Yarrowia lipolytica: one gene and its partners. The main gene of each other region encodes a partner of the protein of the gene in region 3 in a complex. Links are inferred from orthologs where the notes say so. Each region holds a gene or a part of one and is shown on either strand. Other genes may lie near its edges. The genes, in order: YALI1_F29192g, YALI1_F32312g and YALI1_D06380g.

Region 1 (3,806 bases), on a different chromosome or scaffold from region 3:
AGATGTCAGCATAAACATAATAGAGGTCGTGCACTGAGAAGAGCTTGTACAGCTCCAGAAGCACCTTGAGAATAGCCCGCTTGCCAGACTTGATCACCTTGGAAACATCCTTCCAGATCTCAAGAACCAGTCCGAAACTTCGCACCAGGGGATACGTGAGCGCACGTCTACTGCTCGCAATCACAGCTTCAGAGACGGTGTAGAAAGAATCATCCAAAGAGGCAAACTGAGGAGTCAACTTACCAATCGTCCATGGGGATTCGACAGTATGATCGTTGAATGTGGTTCGAATGTCGTAAAAGAAGGAGAACAGAAGGTTTAACAGTCCAATGTAGGCCTTTTTAGGATCGGAAATGTTCTTGTACGCTGATTTCGACCGAGATTTTGACATAATCTCGCTCAGAACACGATTCTCTTCGCCTGACAATAACATGTCGCTCTTGTTCTCTTTCCAAAATTCCTTAGGAAGCTCGTAATGAAGATACTCGGGGACCATATCGTTCTCAAGCAGATCGGATAGATAGTAGCCTGGGTTAAAACGTGACTGTTCAATGTCTGTTCTCAGCTCCTTTCTAGCCTCCTCGTCGACTCCGTTCATCTCAGGATCAACGATCTCGTTAACATCGTTACCCTTAGCCACACTGACACCCACAGCACCGTTGTATCCTCCCTGCCAGCCGTATCGAACGTGGCTGTCTTCACCCAGCTTCGGGATTTCCTGTTTGATCTCCCAGTCAAATGCATCAGCCTCCTGGAGCTCTGTAGGCTCAGTCTCGTTGTCATTTCCATCCAGCTCCTCAATGACAGTTTTTCGAAGATCGTCCATCACTTGGGTCTCATTCTGACGAGCCAGAAGCTTTCCAATCATATCAATGTCCTTCCACATACCAGATTCCTCCTTGGGGATTCGACATTTGATGGTAGAGCTTCCCAGATCGTATGTAGCAGTAGCCTTGGTCACCTTTGGACGCCTCTTGATGTCGATTTTAGTGACAGCCTCGTCGCCGTCCGTCTTCTCGGTGATGTCCTCAATTAGCAGCCCTCCACCGCCAACTTCCTCAACCAGAGGCTTGACCTTGACCTGCTCCACCTCCTCAACTAGAGGCTGAGAGGTGTTCTCTTCCAGAAGGAACTTGCTGGGCCGAACCTCTTCCACCAAAGTCGACGTGGCCATCTCGTCGTAGTTTCGCTTCTTGGCGTTAGGTTCCGATTCCTTCTTAGTCTCTGTGATCTCTTCTATCAGAGGCTTGGTCGACACCTCTTCAATCAGAGTAGCCTCCTTCTTGTCGGTCGAATTGTCGTCTGATTTCGGATCACCTGGACCCAATGTTTTTTTATCGAGATTGGCATCGCTGATCTGCTTCTTTACCATCTCTACCTCCTCCTCATCTTCGTCCAAAAGTCGACCAGGAAATCGCAACCGCAGATAATAGGGTGCTAACGAGAACACGAAGAGCTCGCCATCCACCACAATCTCGATGTTGGCGACACGAATATGGGGTGCCTTGATGTTCACGAACACAAAGTCCTCGTCCTGATCCACAGTAAAGTCGGGAGTGATCATTGTGTGCCGCCTTGATGAAGAGGAAACAAAAAATTATTTTTATGCATCTCTTGCATATCATCGTAACTTTGTTTAGAGCACGCCTCAGACAGTCCAAGCCTCGTCAGAAAGCAAAGTTTAATTTTGCCACTGGGGTAGAGAAGTCGGTGAAAAGAGCACCTAAGACACGAGGCGGTCCTAAAATCACTCCAACGACTTCATGACTCAGATAAACGTAGTGATCTGCTTCAAAAGCCTTGCTCATCAAATCCGTAGAAAGCAATTTCGGCAGAAACACCCTGTAGTGGGTTCGATTCCCAGCAATGCATCCCTAATCACCCAACCTAAATAAATTTTCAGCATGCATAAAATCGTCCCTGTGTAACTTATCATCGAATCCCTCAGAAATGTCGTGTTCAGCATCTGGTGAGTGTAAGAGTACGACTGCCACCCCGGTAGCTCCCTGTGACCCCGATACATGCAAAAAATCAACTTCCACACAGCCCCGAAAGCGTTTTGTGGGCCGTGCTAACGGCTCAGGGCCCTCTGCATCCACTTCTCTCGTCAAGAACACCACCAGACGTCCACGAATCATTAACCAGATTCCCGACGAGATTCTGAACGATGAGGAGCTCAATGAAGTGATTGCAACGACGCTGCCCAAAAACTACAACTTTGAGATCCACAAGAGTATTTGGCACATCCGAAAGAACAACTGCAAGAAGATTGCCCTTCAGATGCCCGAGGGTCTTCTCATTTACGCCTGCATCATTTCCGATATTATTGAGCAGTTCTGTGGACCCGATATTAGTACAGTTGTCATGGGAGATGTGACTTATGGTGCATGCTGCGTTGATGACTTCTCAGCTATCGCCCTGGGATGTGACTTCCTGATTCATTATGCACACTCCTGTCTGGTTCCCATCGACTCCATCAAAATCAAGGTCCTTTATGTCTTTGTCACCATCGAGATTGATACTGACCATGTCGTTAAGTCGTTCAAGAAGAATTTCGAGACTGGAACTCGCATGGCCATGGTGGGAACCATCCAGTTCAACCCTACCATCCACACACTCAAGGATCGACTCCTAAACGAAGCTGGAATCGTATGCACTGCTCCTCAGATCATGCCTCTGTCGAAAGGTGAGGTTCTGGGATGCACTTCTGCAAACATGTCTACTGAAGATTACGATATGATTATGTACATCGGAGACGGACGGTTCCATCTCGAGTCAGCCATGATCCACAACCCCGACATACCTGCATACAGATACGATCCCTACTCAAGAAAGCTCACTAGGGAGTACTTTGACCAGGTTGAGATGGTCAGCGTGCGAAAACGCGCCATCCAGACAGCCAAGAACGCCAAGACCATAGGACTCATTCTGGGGACCCTGGGACGACAGGGAAACACTGCTACTCTGGATATGCTGCAGGAGAAGCTCAACTCTAAGGGCTATGAGACACACATTGTTCTTCTGAGTGAGATCTTCCCAGCTAAGCTGGCCTTATTCGACGGTGTTGACGCGTGGGTGCAGGTTGCGTGCCCCCGTCTTTCTATTGATTGGGGCTACGCATTCCCTAAACCTCTGCTGACTCCCTACGAGGCGATGGTTATGATGGACGAGGACACTTTAGAGGGTAACGACTACCCCATGGATTACTATGGAAAGGAGGGATATGGACGAGGTAAGCAGCCTCGAGCAAAGAAGGAGATTGCCATTTAGAGAGGAGCAATTGGGGGTTTGACACAGCCGATGGTATCAGTGTGTCTATATAAAAGTAACAGGTGTATATATATATTAGGTAAGCCGAGGGGAGAGGTATTCTAGAATTACAGTAGATGTTATGCACACGGCGCGACCATTTCGGCCTACGTCGTACTTACAGTATATTGGATACGTGGTACCAGAAAGCGTATTACAGTAGTACCAGAGGGAATATTTCACACAATCAATTTGCAGTTTCTTAAATGCGTCACAACCAAAATCGAACCCACGTGTAGACGCAATCAGGCCTTATCGGTTCTACACCACGTCGACGTGCAGCGCTAATTTGTCCATCCCTTGTGCCTTGGAGGGTGCGTTTTTCTTACACCCCATTAGAATAAAAACAACAACATAACAGCTGAGATAAACAGATGAGACGATATTCCCCCAGCGGTCTCCTCATTTTGTCTCGCAAGTCATTTCGTAAAAGTACCATGTCAATGTAGGGTAACAGGTCATCGGAGTTTACCGCACTTCTGAAAGGTATATTAATG
Region 2 (2,660 bases), on a different chromosome or scaffold from region 3:
ATTCTGATCATAAGTGCTCCGAGAGAATAATATTTGTTCAATTGTCGCCTCGAGCCACGCCTGTGTTCTACAGTACGAGTATTGCAGCTTGTGTCTGACTAACTGTATTATCAGAAGACAGTTAAGGACAACACAATTCACTCAGGAGCAAGTTGGGACAGCACAAAGCCTCTTCTTGTAGCTACAATATATACAGTAATTACGACACCGTAGGGGCGTCCATGCACCTGAACAAATTAATATAGAGATAAATCTGCAAAGCGCTATTACACAGATCGTCAAGACCTCCAAGAGAGTGTGCCAAAGAGTCATATAGGAAAGGTCGTTTTGCCTCCATTTGCGACAAGTTGTGTAGCCCACCGGACAGTTGATTTGAAATATTTTCACCCAGTAAACACGGTCACGAAGAACTCACCAAATGATGATTCTAAACCAAGACCAAACCAACTAATTCCCATTATCACAAAACCTTTCCGTAGATACCCCAACCAATACACAGGCGACAGACAACAACAAGTACTACTATCTACAACGTACAAACACCTGCGGTATTTGAACCCATCTCAGTTCATTTTCACGTGCAATAATACATTTTAGTTTTGTGTCTACTTCTTGGAGACAATCTTCTTGAGGTAGAAAGCAAGCTCCTCTCCCTCGAGAACGTAACCGTCAACTCGGCCGGACTGACCGGGTCGAGAAGAAACGCAGGCGTAGAGTCGGCCAGCACCGAACTGAGCCTCGACGGCAGGGTCGAGCTTGGCATCAGCCTGTCGGGCAGCAACGGCAGCCTGGTCAGCCTCAGCAATGACGGGCTCCTCCTGGCCAGCCTTCTTCTTGCCGAGAGACTTGCCGTAGTAGGACTCGTACCACTGTCGGAAAGGAGTGGCATCAATCTGGACAATGGCAGACTTGGTCAGAGTGTTGGTTCGGATAAGCTCGTTGTTGGAGGGGTGGAAAGAGACACCGAGGACTCGGGTCTTTCGGGTGGTTCCCTCAGAGCCCCAGGAGAAGTTGCCGGTCTCGATTCGGATGGCTCGGAACTTCTTGTTACCACCACGGGTTCGGACGGTGTGGATTCGCTTGGGGCCGATTCGGGTGACGGCACCCTGTCGACCGCACTCGAACTTTCGCTTCTTGTGGATGGAGACACGCTTGGCGCCGGTGTGGGATCGCTTGTGTCGGGAGTCTCGAGAAATACCCATGGTTGTCGTGGAGTGCTGAGAATTGGTGGGAGGTTTGATTTTTTGTCAGAGGTGGGAGCAGAGTTTCCGAGTTTCCTTTTCAGAAAGCAGTCACAAAGTCACGTGTGACTCAGAGTTAATTTGGACGTTTGAGTATTAGGGTTCAAATTGTCGTGTGTTCGAATCTGGGAGACGGCGCACTTAATAGGTGAAATTGGATGAGCAGATGTTTTTAAAACGACGTGAGGGCATCCGTGGTTCGATGCTATGTACACACTACAAATACGTCAACACACAAATAACAGCCGTCTCCACCACTAGACGTCGATGATTCTATGATCGTCGCCCCCCACCCCTTGACACCACCACATCCTCGTTGGTTTCCTTTTTTTCGTCTCTATAAACCTGCCAGGCCCCAAAATCATGTACATAAATACTCAAAATATCAATCTATCTACCCACCACTACTACTTATTTGTACCGTCTTATATCTCAACTATCTAATATATCTGATCGATCTAATACCTTCCGCGAGTATCTCATCTCGTAGTAAGCCCCCTATAACCCTAACCCAACACCCTCTTTACGTGTAATCGTGCTTCTGACATGCGCAATTTGAAATTTTCGAACAGATGTCTTCAGCTACCCCTGTGGCGTTCGTTACTTGCACCCCATGTCTTTCTACGACGAAATCGAAATCGAAGACATGATCTTCGACGCGGATCAGGGTATCTTAACGTATCCTTGTCCGTGTGGCGACAAGTTCCAGATTGCCCTGGACGACCTCAAGGATGGCGAAGAGGTAGCCGTCTGTCCCTCGTGCAGTCTCATGATCAAGGTCATTTTCGACCCCGAGGACCTTGAGCAGTTTGAAGAATCGTGACGAAGAGGTGCTCTATAGCACTAGTCAAAATTCAGATTATGACTGGAAACTGTCATACACGACACCCTCACTATGAACTGTTCTGTCACGACTTCTACGACATATGTCATGGGCCCCCTCCACACACTCTCAAACACACACACACACACACACACACACACACACATACATTCAGGTCACGCGGACTACTCACATATCCGTGTGACAAGGTAAGAAGCAATCGTTGTGTCTTGGTCCACATATCTATTTATTCACTAATGGAAAAAGAAGCAAACATGCAACTCTAGTTAGCACGGCGTCCATGTATTTATCTGTATTTGTTCCTCACACTCGATTGGGAATAGCTACAAGTACTCGTCTTATAGTTGAATTCACGCGACCGTAAGGTTGAAGAAGAAAATAGGATGGATAGGACGATGACATCACTTTACTTGTTCCCTTGCCATGCTGGCAGCTGTATAGTAAGCGCCACTAGGTGTCTGTGTCTATCAGCTACCTAGATCTTCCTTGCTTATAGAAGTGTACAGATACTTCTCTTCGAACTTGTTCTGCGCAGATCACCTTCCGTTATCAGGAATACGATTTAGGACGCTCAC
Region 3 (3,048 bases):
CTCACGCTTCTTGGAGAGAGCAGTAACTAGATATGACTGTACACCCCAAAGCAGCTGAAGATGGACTGAAAAGACCGAAGGATCCAATGGAAGCAATCACTTTGACATTTCTGATTCTATCTAGTCACGTGACAACGACAACAACTTGAGGGAGAGGTTGTACCATGTCATCATAGTGTTGTAAACATCATCTATAGCGCAATTGAAGACCCAGGGGTGACTTGAGATTCCAAAAGTGTATCAAAAGAGGACTTTCAATAGTTTGAAATCGTTCACCTGTTGTATATCTAGAGACACACCCACACCAACCCCAAGTCTGTCCTCAATACTGACTCTGGAAACAGAACATCCAAAACACTTCAAAAGTACAGGTGAAGTGACCAATATGAAACTACCGGGAATATAAACCGTTTCTTAAATGTTCAAGTTCATCAATAAGCCAGATAATCTCAAGACACGAGTCAATATCGACTCTTTTTGACTCACAATGTATGTACGCCGCACTATCCGATCGAAAACACACTTCTGATAACAACATCAACAAGCCAAAAGTGTTAGAATAATCGCAAAAGAATCCACCGTGTACAGCACAAGTGCACGGGTTTCGATCCTGACTCATCAGGATTTCACAGCAACATCTACACTTTCAAACCAAGGTTCACCTAGCCCAATCTGGATCCCCTCCAACTTGTTCATTTTTGCTCGAATCGCTTCAAAATTCGAGCAGTTGACTGTGGGTGTCACAATTAGTTATCTCCCTTACTTTCCGCCATGTTTCTCTCCTATATTATCTTCAAAAATCGCCCTCTTCAGATTTGCTACCATCTCATGATAGCGGCACTTTATACACCATTAGGTTATTCACCAAATGAGAGCAGTGAGTGACAGATGCGAGAAAAGCCAGTCTGACTCATAACCTGGCTCACTCATATCACACACTTGCTCAGCAACTGACTCAGGTCAGGGCCAGGTATACATTGCTTCCCTCCTCTCGCTGACTAATCCATCTCATGCAGCTGCATTCCGCAACTAACCACTTTTTCAACTCACCTAAAGCTAGCTTCCCCAACGGTTCCAGTTAGCATATCTTTTGTTGACCCGATAATGCACAGGTCACGTGACAGACACCTGACCGTCCGCGCTCGTCCAATTGTTGCCTCTTTTGGCATGTGGGACTTGGTGTGGAGCGTGTGGAACATGTTCCTAGAGGAACCAGACAAAGATGAGATCTCACACAGTTCTCTTTGTCACATGTCATGCGATTTTCCACACCATAAAAAAAAAGTGTGTGAAATGTGGGGACAAACTCAACGTGGACTGAGGGTGCTATACTTAGATGGCTAACAATGGGAGACAAGTAATGGTGGAGTACCAGAGAGATTTTTGCCGATTATGTAAAAAAAAAAGGAATTGACTCATTTGCTGTTGATGTAATACTGCCTGGTTTCTGACTCACCCGACTGTAGACCTTCTATTCTGACCCGGTATCCATTTATCACATTCTACTACAAAACTTTATCCATAACGTGCGTGTCACTATATTAAACGCCTATTTCCATCACCATCATGCGCTCCTCTTCTTCACGACAACCTCAAATGCAGTCCTATTACGCCATCGCCACCGTGTGGGCGCTCATCATTGGCGCCGCCACCTACTACTTCTTCTCCAACTCCAAGCCCAAGGCTGTCTTGCAGCGAGGAGATACGGCCTTCAAGGAGTTCCCTCTCATCCAGAAGACGGTGCTCTCTCACAATTCGGCCATCTATCGATTTGGCCTGCCCCGACCCTCCCACGTGCTGGGTCTGCCCATCGGACAGCACGTGTCGCTTTCTGCCAACATTGGAGGCAAGGAGGTGCTGCGTTCCTACACCCCCACCTCGTCCGACCTGTACGACAAGGGCTACTTCGACATTCTCATCAAGACCTACCCCCAGGGAAACATCTCCAAGTACGTGTCTGAGCTGGCCATTGGTGACACTATGAAGGTGCGGGGCCCCAAGGGCAACTTTGTCTACAACCACGGCCTGGTCGAGTCCTTCGGCATGGTTTGTGGAGGAACCGGCATCACCCCCATGTACCAGATTCTGCGACACATTGCCGCCGATCCCGCCGACAACACCAAGGTTAACCTCGTCTACGCCAACGTGAACCACGACGACATTCTGCTCAAGAAGGAGCTGGACGCCATTGCCGCCGAGAACGACAACATCAAGATCCACTACGTGCTCAACAACGCTCCCGAGGACTGGACCGGTTCCGTGGGCTTTGTCACCAAGGAGATTCTCGAGAAGCACTGCCCCCCTCCTGGCCCCAACACCAAGCTGCTTCTGTGTGGCCCCCCTCCCATGATCTCTGCTCTCAAGAAGGCTTCCGTCGAGCTCGGATACGAGAAGGCCCGACCTGTCAGCAAACTTGAGGATCAGGTCTTTGCCTTTTAAACACAGCTGAGCGACAAAAGAGTTGCCTGCAAACTAGACTCAAGTCATAGATAATGAATTACGTTGAATGCTAGAGAAGGCGGTATTAACAGAGCGAGACTGGCTGTATATCAGAATCTGGCAGTTTTGGAGGTTGTTGAGACAGCCCTATATAGTCTAGACGACATCTGTCTACAGTACAGCTAGCTGTATCAAAGTACTTACGATAGATACGAGTAGTAGTTTCCCCAGACGATGCGATCATTAGCCTTGCTGATTAAAGCTGAACCATCACGTATTATTGACACTATATCAATTTACTTCAACATTTACAGAGCTAGTTAACAAAGTACTTACATTAGCTCAGTAATTACTGAGTTCACCCACACTTATTAAGTAAATAATTAACAAAGCTTCAAGGCTCGTGGATACAGACACTTCAATGCCCATACCTAGTGCAAACACATAGCAACCACCATTGGTAACAGTATCGCTCCGTAGTCTGGGGCCAGATACAGAAGGCATCTATAATTTCAGCCTTATACTCACTTGTATTGGAAGGAATGTGAGAGTCATCATCATCAGCTTACATACACAGTACACACATCGTCGACTGGCATTGAACATCAC

The links.
Region 1: YALI1_D06380g (region 3) and YALI1_F29192g share a complex: the UniProt entries of both Saccharomyces cerevisiae proteins name them as parts of the 2-(3-amino-3-carboxypropyl)histidine synthase complex. The link is inferred for Yarrowia lipolytica from reciprocal best matches to the Saccharomyces cerevisiae genes CBR1 and DPH1.
Region 2: YALI1_D06380g (region 3) and YALI1_F32312g share a complex: the UniProt entries of both Saccharomyces cerevisiae proteins name them as parts of the 2-(3-amino-3-carboxypropyl)histidine synthase complex. The link is inferred for Yarrowia lipolytica from reciprocal best matches to the Saccharomyces cerevisiae genes CBR1 and KTI11.

The regions. Positions count from the first base shown.
Region 1 is NC_090775.1:2,917,439-2,921,244, reverse strand, and holds YALI1_F29192g (uncharacterized protein), read left to right. Parts: upstream 1-1,950; coding exon 1,951-3,270; downstream 3,271-3,806. Other genes in the region: YALI1_F29196g (uncharacterized protein), read right to left, coding at 1-1,564. UniProt on the Saccharomyces cerevisiae protein: Catalyzes the first step of diphthamide biosynthesis, a post-translational modification of histidine which occurs in elongation factor 2.
Region 2 is NC_090775.1:3,229,352-3,232,011, forward strand, and holds YALI1_F32312g (uncharacterized protein), read left to right. Parts: upstream 1-1,854; coding exon 1,855-2,064; downstream 2,065-2,660. Other genes in the region: YALI1_F32305g (40S ribosomal protein eS8), read right to left, coding at 606-1,202. UniProt on the Saccharomyces cerevisiae protein: Required for the first step of diphthamide biosynthesis, a post-translational modification of histidine which occurs in elongation factor 2.
Region 3 is NC_090773.1:636,579-639,626, reverse strand, and holds YALI1_D06380g (uncharacterized protein), read left to right. Parts: upstream 1-1,566; coding exon 1,567-2,439; downstream 2,440-3,048. UniProt on the Saccharomyces cerevisiae protein: NADH-dependent reductase for KTI11/DPH3 and cytochrome b5. Required for the first step of diphthamide biosynthesis, a post-translational modification of histidine which occurs in elongation factor 2.